2 linked regions of the Nothobranchius furzeri genome follow. The protein of the gene in region 2 interacts with the protein of the main gene of each other region in a pairwise test. Links are inferred from orthologs where the notes say so. Each region holds a gene or a part of one and is shown on either strand. Other genes may lie near its edges.

Region 1 (3,765 bases), on a different chromosome or scaffold from region 2:
ATGATCGCTGATGGGAGTTTTGTGACCGTGTTTATGTTTAATAGCTTGTTTAATAGATTTGCTATAGTAGCTTTGAGGTGGGATAAGCTAACCGCTGAACATAGCCAAGATCAAAGTGGATCTCTGCTGCCCAACAGCTCACATCACAGCTAAATTCTCAGCTGTTCCTCCTGTTATTGTACATCCTTCTATAAAAGTTGTACTATTTAGCTTAAATACTATTTGCAGTAGTAAAAATACCCGTGGCAGCAACACAGCATAATCTCAACATTTCTGTGTTGTGTTCAGACTAGCTGTTAGCACATCAATCCTGTGGAACGTAAACCTTTAATCCCCAAGCTATAGGACCATATCAGCAATACTAAAAATAGTAAATATTGATAATTATCACTATTTGATGGCATTATTTAAATGCTGACCCATACCAGAGTTTCTGTTTGGTTACTAAAATAAAACAAATGTCTTATATATATATATAAATAATTAAACAAAACACTTCAGTGAATTTTATTCTTTATTTCCTTACTTTTACAGTTTAAGAGAATTTAAACTCTGGTTGATGTCTTACAAATGATTACAGAGCAAAAACAGTACACAGAGCCAGGTTCATAGGCATAATTCAAGAAATAAAATACTTTTTCTTCTGCGCAGACGCTTTATTCCTCTTGAAGTGTTTTGATTTAGCGTGAAGAAAAGACCGAAGCTGGTAAAAACCTCCAGCTGAGATGAAATTTAAAGGATTTGTTTTTGAAGTGGGATGAACTAAAACTGTGGCACGACTCCTTATGAAGAGGTAGAGATGTTAGTACCACCAGCATGCTTGACTGAAAATGGATAATACAGGTTATTTCTTAACAAACATAAAAACACTTGAATTAATGGCAATATGTATAAAAGCAGCTTAATCTAACAGAACCATGTGACAGCAACCAGCGACTTCCTCCTGCTGATTCTCTGCAGACGGTAAGAAGATCCTGCTGCTGCGTTCACATCTGTAGGACCTCATTGTTCAAGTTTCTGGAATGATCAACTTCTGCCTGTTTATGGGTCTTTTTCCTGTTGCTCGTGAGTTTTGCACAGTTTGCATTTCACAATAAAATACCAAAATTTTCCTCTTTCCTTACTTTACAGATCTGTCATATAAAGCTGTGGTTATTATGCTTAAAATAACCCAAATAATCTATAAATTAGGACTTTTTTGTATTTTAAAACTATTTTTTTGAAATTCTTCATTAATTGCAGACTCATCCAATAATGTAGAAAAAAAAAAACAGAAAGCCCGTCTGATTGTGAGACAAAACAAAAACTATCCTGACAAGGAAAAATGTAGTTAAAGCTACAGCTGTGGGCCTAATTGTTTCAACAGAAGAGGAAAACTTTGGATTTCACAAATTACTCTGAGCACAGTTTTGCTGAAGACCCCATAAAGTAAAATTTTGATCACAGAGCTATTAAACCTCTGAATGACATAACTGAAATAGTCTGTGGCGTTGAGTGGACACACCCCACCGGCCACACACTCTTCTTCTCGGCTTTCCTGAGATGCATTTAACTCTACGAGGGCTACTGATTGGCTGCTTCACACGCATCTATCCAGTCACTGTACACATCAACTGGTTCAGACAGATCTAAAGAGTAACAGATTAAGGAAAAACCAAAGAAATCTAATTCTATGAAATAAAGTTAAAAGCAAATACAGAATAACCAGCAGTTTCCATCAGATAAAATACAATTCTGAATCTGTGTCATGAATTAATCAGGAGATGGAACTGTGGATAACATTTTCTTTATTTTTACCTCGTCCTCTGTACACTGCTACTTGTGAGGGTGACCCTGTGCTCCTGCTCTCTGTTGATAGTTGTAACTATCAACAGCCATAAACATGTTGATCTTTAGCTTCTGAAGTCTAAAACAGTAAATCAATATTTTTACTTGACTACACTAGAAATTAACCACAATTAGGTCTAATGTTATATATCTAGTTAATATGAGAGATTGCTCATTTAATAATTTGGTTAGATGAACTCTGACAGCCCATTAATAGACTTCACCTACGGATGGGAGAAAGGATACAGGTGATGGGAGTCTGGAACTCCTCTAAGCAGACGGAACATGATATTACCCCAGTGTTCCTGCTTCTTTCCCTGTTGGAATTCAAGGAACTCTATCAGATTAACAGACTCCTAAAAGAGATGAAAAATCACTACAACAGTTGTGTTTTGATGGCAGGTGAATTTACATTTTGACATCACATGACTTCTCGTGGTTGCAAAATGGGCAGGTGAACTGATTTTCCAAGTCCCCTGTCATCTTTTTCTTAGGGGGAGGCTTTCTTTTGGATTTGCGGCGACCCATTTCACATAAACAGCATCAACTCTGAAAGAAGCAGAAGACAATCCGCTTACACAAGAACTCACGAGCGAATGAGAGGAAATATGTCTGGTTGTTTGAGCCAAAAACCGCGTCTACTTGGCACAAACTTGCTCCACAAAACTGACGGTAAGTTAGCATGCTAACATTAGCATGTTTGTTTTGAGTCACGTGGACGTCATTCAGCTAACGAATCGACCTACGTAGAATATTTACTAAGACTGTTTTTGGTTAAGTTTCGATTGGTACCGCATAGAAAGCGTGAGGCGAGAGTTAAATGGTAATTAGTAAAAGTTTAACTTTGTTTACCTTCCTGAGTTGGAAACACACGTTGCTACCCAGCAGAGAGTTGGGCTAGGACCCAGTTCTGTTGTCCGTTCCAGTCAGATGATTGGGAGAAAGCTTGAGCATACTTGTCAGCTATTGGTTGTCTGATACGTCAATCATTTAGAAAGGGTGACGACACAGCCTGAGACCGCTGTTTCCGCATGGCGGCGACAGAAACTCTACAGGTGTTTAAAATTAGTAGACGTTTTGACTATTAGTGACCCTTCAAAGATCTTCAATAGTTTTAGTTTTTATGAGGTATGTGTCACAGCTTCGTCTTTGTGTAGTTCTAATGAAAAAACACCAACTTTATGTTAGAATTTACCTGAAAATTAGCCTCACAACGCTAGCTTAACAAAGCTAAAATTGATGATATTTCACTGATTAGTTTAATTTTTAGCTTGTCAGATTAGAAGTTGCCTCTTAGAACTAATATAATAAGTAAACAAATTTAATTTCACATGATTTTAGTAAAAGTTTTAGTATTTTTATTGAAAAAGCCGTTAGTCAAAGTAACATCAATTAAAAACAATCTATTATTCCCGGACGTAATTTACACTGGCGTTATTGACGCTTGCTGAAATGACGTGTCCTACTCTACAACTTTTTACAGACGATTTTTCAGTATTTTGTGTTTATTTTTAAGCAACAAGTTGGACTTATTCAGTCCACAATGTTGTGAAAGGTTCAATGATACAGGTTGATTCAATGATACAAAACCTTTGCAGCCCATGTGTAGGCACAAGACAAGATGTCATATTGTAATTCATACTTGAGTCATTTTGTGTGTTGATGTGGTCAGTTTTAGGGTTCGATTAACTGTTTTGGAAGATGTCGGTGCTGCAGGCCGTCAAGATGGTCAGCCTGGGGTTTGTGGTGCTCTCCTTCAGCCTGGAGCTGCTGGCCAGGCTCTTTGGCCGGCTGAGGCGAAGACGAACCCTCAATGAGGTCCTCTTCTTCCCCTCAGAGGTGGCCTGTGTGCAGCACTTCTTCTCTCCTTTTCCAGCTCAGTGAGTGACGGGAACATTTTGTAATTAAATACAGGCTAGATTTCCATAGCTTGTTTTT
Region 2 (4,242 bases):
AGTTAAAGTACAAATTATAGAAGAAAGTAGTAGGGTGTGGAAAGTGGTCAGTATGCCCTCCAGCAGTCTAAGCCTATAGCAGCATAACTACAGAGATAACTCTGGATAACCTAGCCTTTTAGATGGAGGCATGTTGGAGTCAGGGCAAGGGAGAGCCGTCTTTACCGACTGTACACTCCACCTCCCTGTACTCCCCCACTTGTCCAGATCTGGGCTAACATCAGATTTTAACCATAGGCCCTATCAAATAAAAATGTTTTAAGCCTAGTCTTAAAAGTAGAAAAGATGTCTGCCTCAATGACTAAAGCTGGGAGATGGTTCTATAAGAGAGGAGCCTGATAGCTAAAAGATCTGCATCCCATGCTATTTTTAGATATTTTGGGAACCACCAGTAAACCTGCAGTCTGAGAGCGAAGTGCTCGGTTAGGAACATATGGAACAATCAGGCCACTGATGTATACTTTTAAATGTACTTTTAAACACTAAAGACTAAAAATATCAGTCCTACTGGTAAATAAAAGCTCAGTGAAGCATATGAAAGTTAAATGTATGAACCATGTGCACATGCAGCAACAAAACAGTAGAGGGTGAACAGTAATTGTCCCCATGGCAACAGAGGCTTCTGCATTAGGAGTGCTACCTCCTCTCTCCATGAGCTGAATCCAGCATAAGTGGAGAAAACAACACTGACCAAACACGGTCGCCCTCTTGTGCCTGTTTGGTGGTACTATATCTGGTTAACGAAACATTGGCAGATTTTGAAAGAAAACGATATATCTGTAATAAAACCATTTTTAATAATAATAAAAATCCCACCCATGTCCCTAACATCTTCATCATTTTGTTGTAATAAACATTGCTAATATCTCCCTTTTTGACTGAAAAATCCAGTTTAAATAAACCGAAATAACACGACTGGCGGAGCCTGTTAAGGCATGTTGAGGTTTAAACCTCTTCATTGTTCTTATTCATATAAAATCATTTTAGTTTAGTTTTTACATTTTATGTCATGTTTATTTTCGTACAAGAACTTCTCTTCTTAAACTTGTTTCTGGCCGGAAACCAACAGCAATGGTTCTGTTTCCAGGTGTTGTGCCGACATATGTTTCCCCGACGAGTTTCGTTCCGTTTCTCGTTGCTTTAATCAGGCGCGTTTAAAGTTTAAAGCCAAACGCTTAAACATACAAAAGATGATAAATAAATGGCCCTGATTAGTTTCTGTCCGTTTTAGAACATAAACCCTTTTGATTCATTCATATTGACATTGAAGCTTGTAGATTTGTCCATTACACACCACTCGTTACGAAAAAGAAAAAAACAAATAAATAAATTAAAAATAATGATAATAAAAACATCACTCGTTACGTCATCACGTTTATAATCCGTTTAATCCCACAAGGTCAGCTTTTAGCCGGAGAAACTCGGCCTGAGGTGGAGATCTCCCCGGGCGGGGACGGAACTCTACGAGGTGACACATTTCGACACAACACCATTGGGGTTCTGCGCTCATGCCTGCTTGTTGAAATGTTTCCCATCCGGAGAAAGGCTACAGCAGCGAGCCGGTAGTTCGCTCGAATCCATTCAGCAGATATTACTATTCTAACCGAAGTGAAACGAGGTGAAAATGAGTTCCGCTCCGCAGAAGAGGTCCTACGGGAAGCTGCCTGTGTGGATAGTGGAGGACCACCACGAAGTAAGGACGGGCTTTAGAATGAATACAGCAGCTGTCGCGACCATTGATAGCCTCTTCCACTTGTTTCTTGTGAACGTGATGTGATCGAAACGGGTGACTCGGTTCTAAAAATAAACTCATAAATGTTGTACGGAGTCCCTCAAAGACCAAAAAACAAACAAACAAACAAAAAAAACAACAACTGAGAAACGGTTTATAAACTTTTCTCCTTCCCTTTGTGAATTATATGACAGAGCTGCGCAACAATTAGGAATAGATGGTTTTATTGTTTTGGGGTAATCAAAGACGATTTTAGGCAACATGATAAAAGTGTGTGATCTACCAGCAGAGGCAGCTATTTGGAGCAGATTTCCTTTTTAGCTGAAATGACAGATTTACTTTATCATCTGTGTACCAACAAGGTGCTTTCTGGGATCCCATTCCTGCTGCTGCTGTAGTGATGATGGGAGAGGAGCCAGAAAGTGAGAGGCCCAACAGCCGTTCTTCATTTAGCCAAAGAGCAGTTCCGCGTCTTTATTTTTACAGGTTGGACAGGTTTCATATTGATGTAAATTTAAAGGGGCATGAAGTAAGAAAAATTATCCCGTGGTCAAATTTGGGTACTGCAGTTCAAATGTCAAAACAAACAAGTGCGCTCCGAGCAACTGTTGCCAGAGGACTGGACACTCCAGCCCACAATCTGACCAGGCTATTAATTAGTTTACTTCACACCTGCCCTACTGGAAACTGATCAACCAATCAGAGCTGACTATGGGAGAGTCACTGATTTCTCATGCCCACATTCTTTTTCATACAGTGTGTAAATGAAGCAACGTTGTGGCCAAAATGGTGCAGACATGTCTGTCAAATGGAAACAGGAAGTGGGTTGCTGGTTCAAACCCAGGCTGGAGGTGTTCGGATGGGCTGGTGGTGAATGTGTATGACACTTCCGTCACGATGGGGAAGGCTGTTTTCAGGTTGGCGTCCAGCAAACAGCAGAGTGTCTTGCCTAGTAGAAGCTAACTGTTAGCGTTAGCAACTCCACAACATGGCAGAACTCCTCCAGGCTTGTGTTGCAGAGCAAACAGAGTTTGGCCCAATCTCACTACTTGCACTGCACCCTGTGGTCTTCAGCAAAGTGTGCAGTAGGGTTCGAGTGCGTAGTGCACAAGTGTGCAAATAATTGTAGAATTGAGACAGGGAGCATTGCGTCACCGATCACAGCGCATGCCGGGATGCTGGTCGCTGTGATACTTTTTTCTAAAACCTTTATTAACAACTGTTAAATAAACAGCTATTTGAAATTAATTTACATTTATTGCTGCTTTGTCTAAAAGTTTTAGAGCATCTACTAATCATCCTAAAATTAAAGGGACATTATGGAAGTTTGACAGCCAAAACATGTATAGAAATAATAAATGTCTTCTTCATACATTCTCCTGCAATGCCCTGGTCCTGTAGAATGAGCCCTGGCATTTTTACTGTGATTGCCTGTTTTTCTGTAAAATCACAGAAAAAGAGAGCTGCTCGGGTCGAGCAGGCTGCTTCATGCGCGTTCACGCTCAGGCATCGCCCGTAGCATTTGCTATCCGTAGCTTTAACAGCAGAGAGAGAGGCAGTGCCACTTTGTCGCTGTTCCTAACGCCTAGTGACAAAGCTAGCTAAATTTCTGAGGACCCTTAGCTACTTTCTGTAGAACTTTCTTCTAGATATTTCCTGCAAATTAGCAACAAAATAGCCATTTTCACTCCAAACCGTTCTTTGAACGTTATTTCAGCTGTCATCAATGATATAAATGTTACAGATACAAAAGACGTCACTGGCGCTTTAGCTCACCTAGTTAGACGTCGGACTCTCGTGCAGAAGTCCTGGGTTTGATTCTGGATGTCAGCATAGTTGGTTTAGAGTCTCTATTTTACATTAATGGTATATTTTTTTTACAGTAAGATGCCCAAATTTTTATTTGAGACTCGCCGAACGGCATTGAATTCACAGATAAAAAAAGATGTGGGTTCAACTTTCATTTTGGAACAATTTTTCAAGCAAGGGAAGGGAATGATCTGAGCATGCAGGAGGACTGACCCATCTTAAACCTTTGTCGGCTGTGCTGAAGAGAAAGCTACAGAACCACATTATTTAATTAATTAGCTGCACGTTCTCCTGTCCTCTGTCCTCCGGGCCCCCCCCCCACACACACACACACACACACACACACACACACGGGACTGTCTCAGCTGTTATTTTCGTTAAGGAGTGTGCACGTACAGCATGCGCGCCTCGTGCACGAGCCTACTATTGAAGCTGCCGTTACGCTTTTGGCCTGAGGGGACAATCGCAAGCATAAAAATTCAAAACTCTGTAAAGTCCCTTTAAGTAATTTCATTAGAAAATACATATTTTTCCGAAAAGGAACTTGAGCCTTCTCTCCTGCAGCATTGACTTGTGGGTGATGCCCTTGCCCGAAGCCCACATCACTGCAGACTTCGGTGAAGTGCAGATTAAGGGTGCAATGGGGGCGTGGTCAACTTCCTGACTTGAAAATCGGGGGCACGCTACGCACTCGCACCGCT

The links.
Region 1: the proteins of c11h5orf22 (region 2) and transcription elongation factor 1 homolog interact in binary tests that used the Homo sapiens proteins (3 or more experiments, as listed by UniProt). The two-hybrid records come from large-scale screens. The link is inferred for Nothobranchius furzeri from reciprocal best matches to the Homo sapiens genes C5orf22 and ELOF1.

What each region holds. Positions count from the first base shown.
Region 1 is NC_091747.1:74,776,880-74,780,644, reverse strand, and holds transcription elongation factor 1 homolog, read right to left. Parts: upstream 2,371-3,765; 5' UTR 2,356-2,370; coding exon 2,240-2,355; intron 2,145-2,239; coding exon 2,074-2,144; intron 1,629-2,073; coding exon 1,564-1,628; 3' UTR 502-1,563; downstream 1-501. Other genes in the region: pld6 (mitochondrial cardiolipin hydrolase), read left to right, coding at 3,529-3,707. UniProt on the Homo sapiens protein: Factor involved in transcription-coupled nucleotide excision repair (TC-NER), a mechanism that rapidly removes RNA polymerase II-blocking lesions from the transcribed strand of active genes.
Region 2 is NC_091751.1:66,270,438-66,274,679, forward strand, and holds the start of c11h5orf22 (UPF0489 protein C5orf22 homolog), read left to right. Parts: upstream 1-1,439; 5' UTR 1,440-1,624; coding exon 1,625-1,693; intron 1,694-4,242.